Linked DNA regions of Caenorhabditis elegans. The protein of the gene in region 1 purifies or fractionates together with the protein of each later gene. This does not show direct contact. Each region holds a gene or a part of one and is shown on either strand. Other genes may lie near its edges. The genes, in order: R12E2.11, wago-4 and Y54F10AR.1.

Region 1 (5,301 bases):
GAAGGTTTTGATTGGTGGAGTTCCATCCTACAAAACAATATATTGAAAAAAAATTAAACAGTATTTTGAAACGTACATCGTGAACTTCCTGAACTTCGATGTAAGCCTCTGTTGGCAATCCGATGTTCTTTGGCTCAGCATCGATAATTACAAGAACCGGGTTCGGGCAGAATCGTTTCAATTGCTCGTTGATAGCAATATCGTTCTGTAAAATTAATAAATAAATAATTAATTAAACTGTTGAAGTTGAACACCGTAATTTTGCAAAAATCAGGGTGGCACAGAAAGTAAGGCGGAGCGTAATTTCGCAACACTGTGACACGGTTTTTTCTTTTTTTTTTGTCAGGTATCCACTGCATTTTTTTCGATTTTTTTCAAAAGTTTTGATTTGATTTGTTTTAAGTTTTTTTTTTTTTGCTTTGTTGTTATTTGCACAGTATAATTTCAAATTTAAACAAGTTCGCGCTCCATCGATCATGAAACCGTAAAAACGGGTATCAGAACGGATATTATCGGTTCATAGAGATTCAGAGCCCAGTGATCCGTATGCAGTCATCACAAACCCGAGTGGAATGAGAAATCGAACCAATGGCTGGAGGCGCAGAGTGTGTGCCTGCTAGCCACTAGACCACTACGCGCGTTGTCCCCGTCTCTTTTTTGCCTCTTATATACCTTGTGAAGTTTTGGACCCGTATGATACCATCCGACGATTTTTTCCTTGGCGGCAACCTGTAAATTCATTTTTTTTGTTTAAAATTAAATAAAAACGAGATTTCAAAATTCACCAACCTTGTAGAACATTCCATACATGCTCTCCAAATAGTCCATGTCGAGGAACCATGTACTTTTATCCTTGTCATCTTCATCAAACGGAACTGAAAATTACTTTATAAGTAAGCAAATAAATTTTTAAAAATACCAGCAAAACTGTTTCCAATATCCAGAGTTTTGTCCTTTTTCATGGACCCCAAAAGGACTCCAACAACACGCTTCACGCTTTGAGTTTTGCTGACACGATTGAAATGATCAACAACACTCAGAAGAACCAATGGATGGACGGTCACCTTAAATAATTGTGTTTATTTAAAATCGAATTTTCTCGCTCAGGTATGCTAACCTTATTAACGGGAAGGTTTGCATGAACATTTCCAAGGCAATGATGGGCTCCAGCCTTTTGTTTGAGAACATCTACAGCTTTGACAGTCGCCACATCTCCGTCTTTGTTAGTTGGAGCCATTCTTCTAAAAAACGAAAATAAATTTATCACAATAAAAAATCAACACATAACAGTTTAACACGTTAATAATCGACATAACAGTGAGAAACGCTTAATCATTGCGGAAAAACCTGCCATAAACGTATCTAGAATATAATTTGAATGAAAAAATGAAAAGAAATAAATAAATAATGCTTAAAAACGACAATTTCCCGCTTCCCGTTCAAAAAAGAAATATCATCGTTTAAAGGCGCATGCAATTTCCCCGTAAATCGACACTGGCCGTGGTGAGACCCATCCCGTATTTCCACTTTATTTTTCCTGGTTCTTTACTTTAAAATTAACTTTTTTCGATTGCAATGACGGAAAATTAACTTTCTAATGCGAAAAATTGAAAATTGAACATTTATTTTATTGTTCTAGTAAATTTTTGTTTAATAATCTTGTGTTCACAGCCTGTCGTTGAAAAATGGCAACTTCCTATTTTGGAAAAATAGCTTGTGCTGTGATTTCTTATCGTGATTTTCATTGACATATTTCCAAATTCGTAGCATAGAAAATATTTTCAGTGAAGAAAAAGCATTCATACTGGGCGAGAACAACAATGCCGTTTTATGAAGTGAGCATGATCACACGATCTCTGTCAAAGGTACAGAAAAAACACGATGAAGCGTGAGAATGTGTATAATCATGAGAATATTCTTTATTTCAGGCAGATCTTGTTAAAGCTTTAACGCGTGCTGGAAACACTTTGCTGGATCACGGAGCAGTAATTGAAAAGGTTGAGTCACTGGGTCATCGAGATTTACCGTATAAACGGCTGGCCAAACAGACAAATGAGCCCGTCTACGCTTCAAAGTAATATTTAAAAACTATATATCTTAAAAAAATTGTTTGTTCTTTGCAGTTTCTTCCTCTTCAAGGCGCACATGTCTCGGGAAGCTAGACAGAAAACAAAGTCTATTTTGACACATGACCTGGACACGGTGAGTTAGTTAAATTTCATTATATATTATCTGATGTTGATGTATGATCGGGTCTTATTGTTTAAAAGTTTTCTTTGTTTAGATTCATTTCGAATGTTGTTTTGTTCTTTTTCTAAATTAATTTGTCACTTTTTGGTCATTACAAAAATCTGAACCATATTTTTTCAGGTTCAAGTCGATCTAATTCAAGTGGACACACTGCCGGCTCCAAAGGTTGAATGCAATCTGGAAGAAATCCTCAAATCTCCTGCCGAACGTCAAGCAGTCAAGGATTTGAGAGAAAATCAAAAGATGGGTCATTTCACGCGACAGATGATCTACAAACGTACTGAAAAGGAGTGGAAGAGTATCCCGAAGAGTTACCCAATTGCTCCGCCAAGGCCCTAGACATGAAATTCGTAATCGACTTAAATTTACGGGTCGAAGATCGCCGACAATGCACTTTTGGCCACACCTCCTTATGATAGTGTTATCAAACGAGGCTATCTTTTCGTACTTTGCGTTGTCTGTTTTCTCGATTCTTCTGTACAGTTTTAGGATTTATAGAGTGATTTTTGTTTTCTTAAAGTTGAATTGATTTGTTTTGTTTCATGAATATCACATTTTTATTTATTTATTTTTCTTCCTTCAAATCACGTACCTGGTTCATCTGACCAAGTGATATTTGTTCACTTTTCTATTGAAAGAAAATAACCTGTTTCACATTGATATTCGAAAATTGTTAAAAATTCAGAATGACCGCCGCCACCGCTACCGCCAACGGAAATCACTCAATCGAGGATCCAGTCGTCATGAAAGTCCAGGCCGCTTCACCAATCCAGGAAACTGATTTTTTCGAGAATCTCTATCAAATGGAATGTTTTCGCACTGGGGAGTTCTACCTCAAATCTGGCCAGATGACTCCAATCTACATAGATCTTCGCAGAATAATGAGCTCTCCTCGTGTGCTCCGAATGGCTGCTCAAGCTATGTGTGAGAAAATTGTCGCCTCAAACCTCAAATTCGATTATGTTGTTGGAGTACCATATGCTGCCCTTCCACTTGCTACCGTCAGTTTTCAGAAATAATTCACACTAAAAAATGAGACTCAATGTTTTTAGCTTGTATCTGATATTCTCAATGTGCCGATGCTTATGAAAAGAAAAGAAGCCAAAGCCTACGGAACAAAGCAACTTATCGAAGGAGTCTATCAGCCTGGTGGTACAGTACTTCTTGTCGAAGATGTCGTCACATCAGGTGAATCAATTCGTGAGACAGCAGAAGCAATTCGCAATGAGAATCTGTTGGTCACTGATGCCATAGCTGTTTTGGATAGACAACAGGGAGCAACTGCCAATCTCGCAGAAGATAATCTTAACTTCCTCAGGTGAGGCTTTTTCGTTTTAATTAAAAATCAAATTTTTTCAGCTTTTTGACAATGGAGAAGATCCTCGACGGCCTGATCACGAAAAACGAGATGACCGAGGAACGAAAGCACGAGATTATTGCTCATCTTGCTAAACCTTTCTAAAAATTTCATTGTTGCACCCCATATTCTACCAATTTGTGAACTTGTTTTCTCATTTTCATAATATTCCAATAAACTTCCTTGTTAGCACACATGCATCGCATCACATAAAACAAGAAAATTGATGGACCAATTTAAAAAATGGAAAAAAGGTTTCATTAAATTTTTGTTTAGCGTTTTATGTGATGTTTTGTGTGTTTATATTTTCTTCTCATCACTTTCTACCATGTTTGCTGAATAATTTTCATTATTTTTTGGCTTGTTGATTCCTTCCCAAGTTGTGATATATCCTGGTTTAATTCTTCTTCCGCATGTCTTAATAATTTTTTTTTTTGGAATTTAGCTAAAGCATAATCAAATCTTCTCATGTTCTTTCCCTGAAACGATTTCAAGTGAATAAAACCTTTTCCAAATAGTGTTCACAAAGGATAAAACTCGCACCATCTATCATAGCTCAACAGTTCTCGCTAAGAATTGCAAGTCAGTCATTAATGCACATAAAACTTAATAAACTTTTAAAATCGGATTCAATTATTTTGCTCTACCGGATGACCCCAGCAGAGCGGTTCCAAAAATTAAAGTCGTTTGACACTTTCTTTCGAAAGGTCAGAACTCCAGCGTACCTTGAGTAACTGGGTTAAAACCGAAGATACCAACGAGTCCTCTCCTCTTACCCAAACGTGTGTACCGACACATTTCGAGGCAAGCGAGAAGCGACGAGTGTGTGTTGTCGAGGAGACGGAGACTGCGAAACAGCAGTGGTTGATGGTGCAGTGGGGAATAAGGGAGGCACAGCAGGACACTGGTTCGATCCCCACGAAGTGCATAATCAGATTTTCCGTATATTGAATATTTATAAACAATTTTTAAAAAATCTATTTTTAATTAAACATGCGTTTTCCGTTATAATGTGCGATTAAGTAAAGAAAAGTACGGTATGCAAAAAAAAAGTACGCAAATACACACATTATCTGCTACCGTACCTTTGTTCTACAATTTGTTCTACATTCTTGGGAGAGCGCGAAATTTTGTATTTTGTCCGCTCAGCGAAATGATTGCACTTGTTTTCTGGAAACTTCCGAAATTTTTTCTTTCTTTGTTCTCCTAAAACTTCGACTTTTTCCGTTCAGTTGTTTAAACAGTATTTTTCGCAGTTATTTTCTATTAAAAATCCGCGTATTCGTCTAATTTCCATTTTGTGCTCTCCCAAAATCGTTTTTCCTGTCTCTTCTGCCGTTTAATAAGCTTATTTATTTTCCAGGTATGGCGTTGAACAGCGAAGTGATGTTCCGCGAGCAAATCAATGCGATGCGCTCACAAGCTGGCCGGAAGCGAGCGACGTCGCTTCAAAGCTTCTGCTCCGGAAACACCGACGACTCCTCCGCGGATAGCACCGATAACATGGATATGATGGTGGATTATCCTCAACAAAAGGGAGTGAGCTGCATGAGAGCCAGATTCAACAGCGAGAGCACGCTTAGCAAGAGTTTCCGGAAGAAAGTGAAGAAGCTCGCTCAGAAGGACAGGTACTTTGAGATTCTTAAGTATTAGAAAATTAATATTTTATGTTGCAGAAGATCCAAGGAGCGTCT
Region 2 (5,586 bases), on another chromosome or scaffold:
AAAAAGTCAAAATACATGCAACTTTTCGATTAAAAAAGCACGCTTACAGGCGTAGATCATTGAAATTAATTAATTCAGGTTCGAAATCGTTCAAAATCGTTACTTTGTCATTTTTACGCCTGTAAGCGTGCTTTTCAATCGAAAATTAGCTTTTATTTTGACTTTTTCTCTAAAATTCAAGCAAAATTACACCGAGAACATTAAAAATCGGTGGAAAATAACAAAAAATAAAATAAATTAATTAAAAAACGTGCAAGCGCGCTCCATCGAACAAATCCAATTGGCGGTAATTTAAATAGGAATTAGGCAAAAACTGAGATTTTTTCGATTTTCAAAAAATCATATAAAATTTAGAATAATTTTTTATCATGATATTCGGTCATTGTGGTACCATAGGCATGTTTTACAGCAATTTCCCCACTGACGCTACTCCACCTTTAAAGAATTAGAATTTCAAACAGATTTTTCTCTACAAAATGGCATATTTTTCGAACCTGAAATCGAAAAACTGACGATTCTAATACATTTTTTAAAAAACTGTAGTGACTCCTTTCTGTAAAATCTTCAGTTTTGGGCCAAATTTCATAATTTTACACATTTTCAACTCGTATGATTCCTCTCAACAAAATTATGAATCAAAAAAATTCGGAAAGAGTTTCTATATAGGCCAACAATAGCCAAAAACTGCTGTCCCAGCTAATCGAGCTCCCACGAATTCAGGAGTTTGTGAGGTGTCGTTCCAGTAATTATGAACACTCCAGGACATCGTGTTTATTACCTTCTTAAGATATGGAAATTTCTTTCTAAGCGCATCCATTGGGTACATGAGACCTCCGTAACGATTCAGTCGTGGGATGTGTCCTTGACTGTTCTCACCCGGCAACGGGATCGAGTCCACTTCCAGATTGTTCGATGTCGCCTCAATTTCCGACTCTGGAGGAATGAATCCGCCACTCACAAGCTCTTCGATTCGGTTACGCTCTCTCTCCAGTTCACCCATATAATCAGCCATTTCACGTTGATTTTCCAAAAATGCAATGTAGGCTTTCGGGTGGGAATCTCTGAGATGTCGCTCGAGAAGGCTCATCTCACCGAAACGATTTTTGCAGACTTTGCATCGGAACATGCTTTTACGGACGGCATTTCGAATTTCATCGATGCTCAGTGAGGACGCAGGAACCATGTTGAGATCCGGAGCACAAAAGTCTTGCTGCTCTGAAAATTATAAATTTTCTTTTTTTCCAAATATTGGTTCAAAATTGGACTCAAAATTGCCTAAAAATACCGAATTTCATGATGAAACTTCTTGAAAACTTCTCAAAAAAAAGTTATGACGGCTCAAAAACTGGCCTAAAATTAGTTAAAATTTGAAATTTGACTTGTCAGCGCTGCCAGCTGGAAACTAATATTTTTGAAATCACCGTCAAATTTTGAGTATTTTATGTAATTATCTTTCGTTTTTAACTCTGATTTAGGTATTTTAAAGTCGATGAACGGCGAGATTTTTAAATTTTTTTAAACCAAATCTCGCGGTCCATCGACTTTAAAATACCGAAATCGTGTTGAAAACGCAAGATAATTACATTTTATACCCAAAATTTGACGGTGATTTCAAAAACAAAAATTGTTTCCAGCTGACAGCGCTGACAAGTAAAATTTTAAGTTTTAACTACTTTTAGGCCATTTTTTGAGCCGTCATAACTTGTTTTTGGGAAGTTTTCAAGTTTCATTATATAAATCGGTGTTTTCAGACAATTTCGAGTCTACTCCACCTTTAAATGACAAATTTCTGAAATCCTTACTTTGTCGAACTATACACTTGTCAAGTTCGGCAGATGGATCGATGAAATTCAGTGCAGCTCGGTTTTCGCGAAGCTTTTTGATTGGTCTTCCATCCCCGCCGAGAATGATTCGTTCTTTATGAATTTTCGGCGGATTTCTGAGGCTCGCAAGAAGCTCGCCGACTCCGGTGAGCTTTTTTCGTGGGCAACACACGTCATTTCTTCCAGAATCGTTGGCTTCAGCTACTGTTTCCTTTTTCATGCATTCTTGAAGGAAGTGCTCTTGAATACGACGAATCTGTTGAGCATCCTGAGCGTTGAATGATGCAATAATCTGCTGTTCCTTTTCGTCTTGGCAATCCCTATGTTCCGCATGATCATCTTCCGAGACTGCATCTATCAAGAAATCATTAGAAGAGAATAATACAAGAGAAATAAATATCAAATAGTGATAATAACTAGGTTTCTTGGAACCAAATATAGAAATCAAGTTAACAAAATTTCGTTATTTTTGTTTTTTTATTAGGTTAACAATAGAAAAAAATATAATGATTACGTGAATCTTCACGATCGACAATCTCCGGCGCCTTCATTGTTTCTCGTTGCTTGTCCTGATTGTTCCTGTAATTAATTGCATTATTGAAGGAAATTTTAAGATTTCAAATAACGAAATTGAACACGGGTCTGGAAAAATAGAGGCGAAACGAAGAAATATGAACATTTCGAAATAATGCAACAATCTCATGTGACTCCTGATGAAGAGGGTATTTGAAGTGCAAAATAGAGCGCAAGTGCACTTTTTTAATTTTTCTCTTAAAAATAGCTATTTTTGTTTAATTCTAGAGTTTTAATTATAAAAAGAAAAGCAAAATTCAATAAAGGTTCTCTTCGAAAAAATAAATTGTTCGGGTGGATTTACGGTAAACAAGGCGCATTGCGTTAAGGCGGAGTGTCGTTGTGCTCGGGTCTCGCAGCGAAAGTCACCTACAGTAACCCAGAATTTTAGGATGACCGCGATTTTCAATTTCGTTTTTTCTTTTCGCGTTTTTTCGCGGAAATGTTTGTTTTTGATGCTCGTTTTGTGTTTTTGTGTTGTATTTTTGTTGCTTTTTTCGCATTTTTCTATACGTTAAGTCTTATTTCGTCTTGAATTTTAAATTTACAGGTAATAGTTACAAAATCGAGAAGGATGCCAGCTCTTCCTCCAGTCTACACGCCTTCTGGAGCTCCATCGAGCGTCCACGCACCACCTGCCGTTCCACCAGTTCCAGTTCCGACTCAACCGTTAAGATCGGAGTATCAAACGTCTAACGACGCTTGCATCAAGAGACTGGAAGAGCTTAATGTACGTTTAGTTTAATTGATTTTTTTTTCAAACCTAATTTGTTAAATTTCAGATTGCTCCTGCTGCAAAGCTCTATCCAACACCTACTGAACCAGGAAAGTGTGGCGTCGAGGCCGAAATACAGACCAACGTATTCGGAATCGAGATGCACCAGGATTCGTTGTTCTATCAGTACAGCGTGAACATCACGACGGAGCTGAAAAACGGGAAAGAAGTTACCTTCACTAAGAAGGGGAAGGATGAGTGAGTTTACCACATGATTTATATTTTTCTCATAATATGTTCCAGCTTCGTCGTTACTGAGAGACACGACAAGTGCTGTGCGATTCTGTTCCGCGCGCTGGGTGACTATGAGGAGTTCTTCAAAACGTCTGATAGCTGCCTCATCTACGATGGTCAAAGCATTCTGTTCTCAAACGTGGATCTTTTCCAAGGGTTCAGAGAAGGCGCAGTAAAGGTAAATAAATTAAATCTCGGCCAATGTTATTCCGAATATTTCAGACCAAGTACATGCAGCTTGATGGCGGAGAAATGGATCATAAGGATCTCAAATCGTTGCCGTGTATTAAGCTGGAGGTGTTCCCGACTAAAAACCCAGCGGTCAAGTTCACACGAGAAGCCGTAGCAAGACGAGCAACGGACTCAAACCTCGATTCTGTCAGCTTGGCTTACCAACAGATCCTGGAACTCGCTCTCACTCAACCATGTCTTCGCAACACTGCGAGATACGTTGTTTTCGATCATGGAAAAATGTTTTTCATTGATCCACTCGGTGAAGGATTCGAGAAATGCGACGTTGTGGACGTTGGGGATGGGAAGCAAGTTGTACCAGGACTCAAGAAGACGATCAACTTCATCGAAGGACCCTACGGCAGAGGACGGAGTAATCCATCAGTTGTCATTGACGGTTGGTATTCAAAATAGTAATATCATAGTTATTTCTTGTTTTTCAGGGATGAAGGTCGCTTTCCATAAGAATCAGCCAATTCTCGACAAACTGAAGGAGATAACTACGCAGCCTGTGGAACACGGCCTGAAGGGACTCGAAAAGGACCGCTGCGCAGCCGTCATCAAAGGGCTCGACTGCTATTCTACATATGGCGGTCGTGAACGTCATCACAAGATCGAGGGAATCCATCACGAAGGGGCTCGAAATGCTCGTTTCGAGCTCAACGACGGTGGAAGCTGCACTGTAGCTCAATATTTCGAAGACGTATACAACATCACTCTTCGCTATCCAGACACAAATCTCATCGTTTCCAAGGAGAGAGGAAATATAAACTTCTACCCGATGGAATTGTTGAAGATCAGCTCTCATCAACGCGTTCAGATCCCGCAGCTAACCAGTGCCCAGAGTCAGAAGACAACGAAGGAAAGTGCTGTTTTACCTGACGTTCGCCAGCGTCTGATCTTGACGGGAAAAAATGCGGCGCAAATCTCATCGGACAACGAGGTTCTCGGTAAAATGGGCGTCTCGGTGTGCGAAGATCCGCTCATGGTCAAAGGACGCTCAATTCCTGCGGTGAAGTTGGCAAACGCTGAAATTGGAGCCAATCCAATCAATGTCAAGGACAACAAGTGGCGTGCCAACCGCTTCACTCGACCAGCCACGGCGCCGAATGTGTGGGCGATGTATGTTGTCGGTACCGCATCAACTCGCATAACTTTGGATACTCTGAAGTAAGACTGGCAATATAGTTTCATATCTCATTTTTTTCGTTTCAGGAAATTCGCAGATGAGTTCGCGGCTATGTGCAAGTCAAAAGGTGTCAACATGCCTGCTCCTGCTGACATTTCGCTCATCCATATGGATGCCATCGAGAGTCGTCTGTACGACGCAACGAAAGCCAATTGCACATTCGTTTTCATCATAACGGATGATTCAATCACTACACTCCATCGTATGTTACATTGTTTATTATATTTGTCCATATTTCCGTCTTTCAGAGCGTTACAAAATGATTGAGAAGGATACGAAGATGATCGTTCAAGACATGAAGCTATCCAAGGCGTTGAGTGTTATCAATGCAGGAAAGAGGCTAACTCTCGAGAACGTGATCAACAAGACCAATGTGAAGTTGGGAGGTTCCAACTATGTTTTCGTGGACGCCAAGAAGTACCAGATTTTTTTTTGCGAAATTTATATTCATTTATTATTCCTTCAGGCAGCTCGACTCTCATCTGATCATCGGAGTTGGGATTTCCGCCCCACCTGCTGGAACCAAGTATGCCATGGAGAACAAAGGAGTTCTAAACCCCAATGTCATCGGCTATGCGTACAATGCACAGCACAATCAGGAGTTCAGTGGAGACTTCGTGTTAAACTCTGCCAGCCAAGATGTGAGTTTCCATTTAAGAATATTCTCATCCGATTTGATTTCAGACTCTTGCGCCGATTGAGGATATTGTGATGCACTCGCTCAACGAATACCAGAAGTTTCATGATGGCGGTCTTCCGAG
Region 3 (5,586 bases), on another chromosome or scaffold:
ACCAATGATTGGTCCGAAAGTGGGTGGAGCGAATCGCTGATTGGTCGAAAGTCTCATTTTGGCGGGAAATTCAAAAAAAGCGGTTTTTAAGTAGAGTTTTTGATTTTTCGTGATTTTTCTTTTTTTTTCAAATTTAACATAATTTTAGAAATTTTTAAGCAAAATTCCCAAAATTCACACTACTCAAATAATCACACAGTTCATCATGGGGCAGGTGGATGGGTGGGAGGAAGCGAGAGAGAGAGAGAGAGAGAGAGAGAGAATTAGAGAAATAAGAGCGATGAAAAAAATCGGAAAAAGACTAGAATTTGAGCCCAAACACGGCCCGGTGGTCCATTTATCCATTCATTCCACGAACTTGTCCACTCTTCCTTTGCTCTTCGAGCTCTTTCTGGGCTTTTGCCTCGATTTCTCGAATATCGACCATTGTAAGGCCGTGCCATTTATCGATCCAGCAGAATACTTCCCGATGGAATTTCGAGAACAGGCGAGGGTATTGCTGAAAAATTTGGGATTTTTTTGGAGAAAAAATGGAAAAAAGCTGAATTTTCTAGAAAAAAAAACCTATTTTTCTGGGAAAGTAATGGAAAAATCCGAGATTTTTTGGCGAAAAAACCGTTTTTTTAAAGGAAAATAATGGAAAAATTATTTTTTTTTTTGGAAAAATCTGAAATAAATCTGATTTTTGAACATTTTCACGTGAATCTCAACAAAAATGTCCATTTTTCAGGTAGATTACTGGGTTAACAAAAAAAAACATTTTCGAAAATTTTACTTTATAGGATTTTATACAAAATTGCGCAGTTTTCCAGCTTTTTTTAAAATTAAAATTCAATTTTTTCGCACTTTTTGAAATTTTTATTAAATTAAGCAATGTTTTGGTTTATTTTTTTTATTTTTCATTTATAAAAATTTTCAGCGAAAAAGATGGAAAAAAATTTTTACGAAAATTGTGCATTTTTCAGCTCGATTTCTACATTTTTCGTATGCAATTTTTCGAAAACTTCTTTTTTTTTGCGGTTTTTTAAAGAAAATTTCTCCAATTTCAAGCTAATTTTTGAGATTTTTTAAATAAATTTATTAATTTATCGGGTAAAAATCCACTTTTTTGAAAATTTCCACGAGCATTTATGCGAAATTTTTCCATTTTTTCAGCTCGGTTTTCAGTTTTTTTCCGGAATTGTTCGAAATTTTGCTCGAAAATTGAAGAATGGCTGTGTAAAACCTCTTCCACTTAAATTAGAGGTTTTCTAGGTTTTCCTTTTGACTTTTTGGCAATTTTCGCGGTTTTTTCACATTCAAATTGGCAGTTTGTTAGGTTTTTAGGTGAAAACTTTATTTATCAGATTTTATTTATTTAATTTTATTTACATTTATCAGATTTTAAGTGAAAATTGTTGATTTTCACCTAAGAACCCTATAAATTGTCAATTTGAGTATGAAAAAACCACGAAAATCGAAAATTTCAGTTTTAAACTTTGAAATTCTTCTCCTCGGGGAGTACACGATCTGCGTAAATCGACATAGGGTTATTCTACAAATTTCAAACAAAAAAAAGCTCGTTTTTTGAGCATTTTCGCCCATTTTGTCGATCCACGAAATCCTCTCGTAATCTCACCGTATGCGCGTAGTTTTCGACAATTTTCTGGAATCCAAACCACTTGAAATAGACTGTAACAAGCTTGTAGGCACACATTACAGGCTGTACACTATCCTTCCAATTTCCAGATAAAGGACCGCTGAAATTTCAGATTTTTTTAATTTAAAAACTGAAAAATCTCAAGGTTTTTCCCGTACCGCCCGGTTTTTGTGCTCTGAAATTTGGATGGAGTGGAGTCTGGATGCAAATCTCCGGAATTCAAATACTCGTGATCATTTGCAATATTAATATTGACAACTTCTCGTTTCGCCAGCTCATCGCCCTTCAAACCGTGCGCATTTTCGGTCGTTCCGTTGTCCGGCAAGTGGATTGTCTCAATTTTCACATAGAAATTCTCTTTCATATAGTCTGGATTCGTGACAACCGTCTTACAGTACGGATAGGCATTCCATGCTTCTTCGTGGATAGCCAGAGAACCTTTTGGCGCGATTTTTCGCAAAATTGCCGGGACTTTCCTGAAAAAATTGATTTTTTTTCCAATTTTTTTCGCAGAATTAAAGAAGAAAATCCTACGATTGAAGATGATAAATCTTATGAGTATATTGTCCTTTCGTGAATTGTCCATTGAGCAGTGGAACATTGTCAAATGGCTCATTTTTGAGCACTTCCACACCTTCACCGCCACCCGTTTCGGCTTTTGAGGCCTCGGCCACAGACCAGAGCTGGCCTACTTGGTACTCTTCGACGGACATTGGAAGCACAACTCGGCTGAAAAAAAATTTTTTTTTTTGAAAATCTGGAAAAAATCCAATTTTTTTGGGAAAATCTGGAAAAATACGATTTTTTTTTTGAAAAAATCTGGAAAAAATCCGATTGTTTTGGGAAAAGAATGGAAAAAATCTGGAACAAATCCGATTTTAATGGAAAAATCTGGAACAAATCCGATTTTAATGGAAAAATCTGGAACAAATCCGATTTTAATGGAAAAATCTGGAAAAATACGATTTTTTTGAAAAAATCTGGAAAAAATCCGATTCTTCCGGGAAAAATCTTGAAAAAATCCGATTTTTTTGGGAAAAGAATGGAGAAATCCGATTTTTTTTTGTTGGAAAATCTGGAAAAAAACCGATTTTTTCCAGGAAAAATCAAAATTTTCGTTAAAAATAAAAAAATCACTTACTACTCCTTGATAATCATTCTTGCGAGTGTCGAATGAGGAGGAAACCACCTGAAAACTAAATTTTTTATGCTAGTTGCCATGGAAACAGCTTTACGGAAGATTAATGGGTGGAGAGCATGCGAAAATCGATTTTATTTTTGCATTTTGGAAGGTATTCGAGAAAAAGAAGAAAATTATTGCGAAATTTCGTAATTTGAAGGAAATTCACAAAGATTTTAACGATTTTTAGCGGGAAATTGAAAATTTTTGGATTTAAAAATAAAAAATTGATCGAAAAGTTAAAGGCGCACGGAGTTCCAATTGCCGATGGGTCTCGCAGCGAACTACAAAAGTTTGATAAATTTTTGAATTTTTTAAAGTTTTTTAGTAAAATTAAGTTGATTTTACCAATATTTAATATATTTTCTAACGTTTTTAAATAGAAAATGACAATATTAAATCGGAATTGGAAATTTTAACGGCGTCTCTCATGAAAAATACAAAATTCTCCCAAACAATGCGAAATCGTAGAATTATTAGTCATCATGAATAGAGAGAGAGAGAGAGGTGTTGCGAAATTTTTCTCATTTTGAAATTTCTTGAGGGAAAAATGGAAAAATCACTCAATTTTCCGTGGGAAAAGCGAAAAAAACGAATTTGAGAAGGGCAGTAATCGAAGGCGCATATAGTTTGAAGAGACTCGGGTCTCGCAGCGATCTACAGAAATTGTAATTAATTTTCAAGTTTTTAAACTTTTAAACAAATTTAAGCTATTTCTAGGTGGTTTTAAATGAAATTCTAACGATTTAATATTGAAAACTTGATTTCGAAGTGAAAATTAAGATTATTTTTAATTTCCGATTGGAATTCCGAGAGAAAAGCGAGCATAATACACGAAAAATCTTGAAATGGTTTTTAAAGGTGCATGGTCTTTGAATTGGCTCGGGTCTCGCGACGATCTACAAAAGTGTGATGAATATTTAATTTTATTGAATTTAAAATGAGTTTTCAGAAGGTTTTAACGATTTTCCGACCAATTTTCAGTGCAAAAACTGCAAAAAATGACGTGTTAAGGTCCATACACCCGCAAAAAACATAAAAACAAAGCGGAAAAAAGAAAAAAAAAAGACAGACGAAATAGATGAAGCAATAAGCGCAGCAACGAGGAGAAAATCGAATGCTTTCTGTGTTTCTGTCTCACTTGCCGACTCACTAGGCACGCGAAATGCGCAAGCATTCCTCTCGGTGACTTCGTATACTCTCTTCTCGATTAACAGCAGGGTTCGAGCCTTTCTTGGAAGAAAAAGAGGAAGAAATATTCGTTTTTTTTTCCTTTCTTTTAACGTTTTTGGAAGAAGGAAGACGGAAAAAAGATGGAAAATAGTATTAAAAATGGCCTTCCCCAAAAAAAAGAGGGCGGCGCGGCGAAAAATCGATAACACCCGGGACGGGGGGAAAACGGAGGAGAAAAAAGAGCTGGAGCAGAAACTAAATATGTCATGTTTGTGGAGTAGCGTGTGCGCTGTCAAGTTGAGAGAGAGAGGCTATATAAAGTAAAAAGTAACGACTATGGAGAGGAGCGAAATGGGTTGGAAAAACAAGTGACGGATGACATTTTCAATGGAAAATCTGAAAAAGTGTGAAGCTGGCGCGAGAATCACCATGGAAATGAGCGACAAGTTTGGGGCAGATACACATAAATCAAATTTCGACTTGCGGAAACAATATGAAATCGATTTTTTTGACTTTCCCCTATTAAATAATTAAAATTCAAAAAAAAATCGAAAAAAGCTGGGTTCAAGTGGTGCCAGGCTGTCCCATTACGGTTTGATCTACAAAAAATGCGGGAATTTTTTGCCAAAAAAAATGTGACGTCATCACGTTGTTAACCATGCGAAATCAGTTGAGAACTCTGCGTCTCTTCTCCCGCATTTTTTGTAGATCTATGTAGATCATGCCGAAAGAAGGCACTTTGACACCACGTGAATCGGTAAAGAAATGGAAAAAAAAAATCAAAATGCAGGAATTGAGACGCAGAGTTCTCAACTGATTTCGTATGGTTAGGAACGTGCTGACGTCACATATTTTTGGGCAAAAAAATCCCGCATTTTTTGTAGATCAAACCGTGATGGGACATGCTGATACTACGTGGTTATGCGCCTTTACACAGAGTACGGTACCTTTGGCCATTAAAAAGCGCCAAGAAAATTAGACTATCTGCTGAAAATCGATTTATTAACTTCCAAAAACAATAAAATCTAGAAATTGGAAGATTTTCTCTGTAACTGTAAAAATCTCGATTTTCGTCTGAAAAGTTAAAAATTGGCGATAAATTGGCTATTTAGGCTTAGGCTTAGGTTTAGTCATAGGCCTAGGCTTAAGCATAGGCTTAGGCATAGGCCTAGGCATAGACTTAGGCTCAGGCTTGGGCTATTGCTTCGGCCTAGGCCTAGGCTTAGGATTAGGCTTAGGCTAAGACTTAGGCAGATGCTGAGGCATAGGCTTAGACCTAGGCTTAGGCTTAGACTTGGGATTAGGCGTATGCTTAGGCTCAGGCTTAGGCATATGCTTAGGCTTAGCCATAGGCCTTGTGGCTTTCTGCAGGAAACTTTGCCCGATGCACCATGTTGAAAATGCCATTTTTTGTTGGATTCCCGGTGAATTCTACCCTTTTTGCGAAAAAAAAAAAAATTTCATTCAAAAATGTTCATATTGGAGGCCCGATTTCTGTAGTTTCCGCATTTTTTGGTGTCATTTTGTCTGAAACACAGACTTTGTAAATATTGGTAACCTCAAATGTACTTAAATCAATAAGACAGTGACTTTA

The links.
Region 2: the proteins of R12E2.11 (region 1) and wago-4 fractionate together in Caenorhabditis elegans (co-fractionation; one large-scale study listed by BioGRID). This does not show direct contact.
Region 3: the proteins of R12E2.11 (region 1) and Y54F10AR.1 fractionate together in Caenorhabditis elegans (co-fractionation; one large-scale study listed by BioGRID). This does not show direct contact.

Annotation. Positions count from the first base shown.
Region 1 is NC_003279.8:4,171,259-4,176,559, reverse strand, and holds R12E2.11 (Orotate phosphoribosyltransferase), read left to right. Parts: upstream 1-2,935; 5' UTR 2,936-2,936; coding exon 2,937-3,251; intron 3,252-3,302; coding exon 3,303-3,568; intron 3,569-3,609; coding exon 3,610-3,712; 3' UTR 3,713-4,122; downstream 4,123-5,301. Other genes in the region: rpn-8 (26S proteasome non-ATPase regulatory subunit 7), read right to left, coding at 1-27, 77-205, 673-729, 790-875, 920-1,064, 1,118-1,237; mrps-6 (Small ribosomal subunit protein bS6m), read left to right, coding at 1,821-1,865, 1,929-2,074, 2,124-2,202, 2,371-2,589; Inactive protein-tyrosine phosphatase egg-5, read left to right, coding at 4,973-5,235, 5,284-5,301. UniProt on the Caenorhabditis elegans protein: Phosphoribosyltransferase which catalyzes the formation of UMP from uracil in vitro and thus may be involved in UMP biosynthesis via the salvage pathway.
Region 2 is NC_003280.10:12,916,607-12,922,192, forward strand, and holds the start of wago-4 (Argonaute protein wago-4), read left to right. Parts: upstream 1-2,944; 5' UTR 2,945-2,970; coding exon 2,971-3,126; intron 3,127-3,178; coding exon 3,179-3,369; intron 3,370-3,414; coding exon 3,415-3,583; intron 3,584-3,627; coding exon 3,628-4,033; intron 4,034-4,079; coding exon 4,080-4,806; intron 4,807-4,851; coding exon 4,852-5,027; intron 5,028-5,073; coding exon 5,074-5,242; intron 5,243-5,291; coding exon 5,292-5,466; intron 5,467-5,509; coding exon 5,510-5,586. Other genes in the region: F58G1.2 (C2H2-type domain-containing protein), read right to left, coding at 779-1,215, 1,803-2,171, 2,338-2,374. UniProt on the Caenorhabditis elegans protein: Argonaute protein which is involved in the endogenous small interfering RNA (endo-siRNA) pathway and is required for RNA-mediated gene silencing (RNAi) in the germline.
Region 3 is NC_003281.10:2,572,889-2,578,474, forward strand, and holds the start of Y54F10AR.1 (Phosphatidylinositol transfer protein N-terminal domain-containing protein), read right to left. Parts: upstream 2,798-5,586; coding exon 2,781-2,797; intron 2,369-2,780; coding exon 2,174-2,368; intron 2,116-2,173; coding exon 1,798-2,115; intron 1,740-1,797; coding exon 1,619-1,739; intron 500-1,618; coding exon 338-499; 3' UTR 1-337.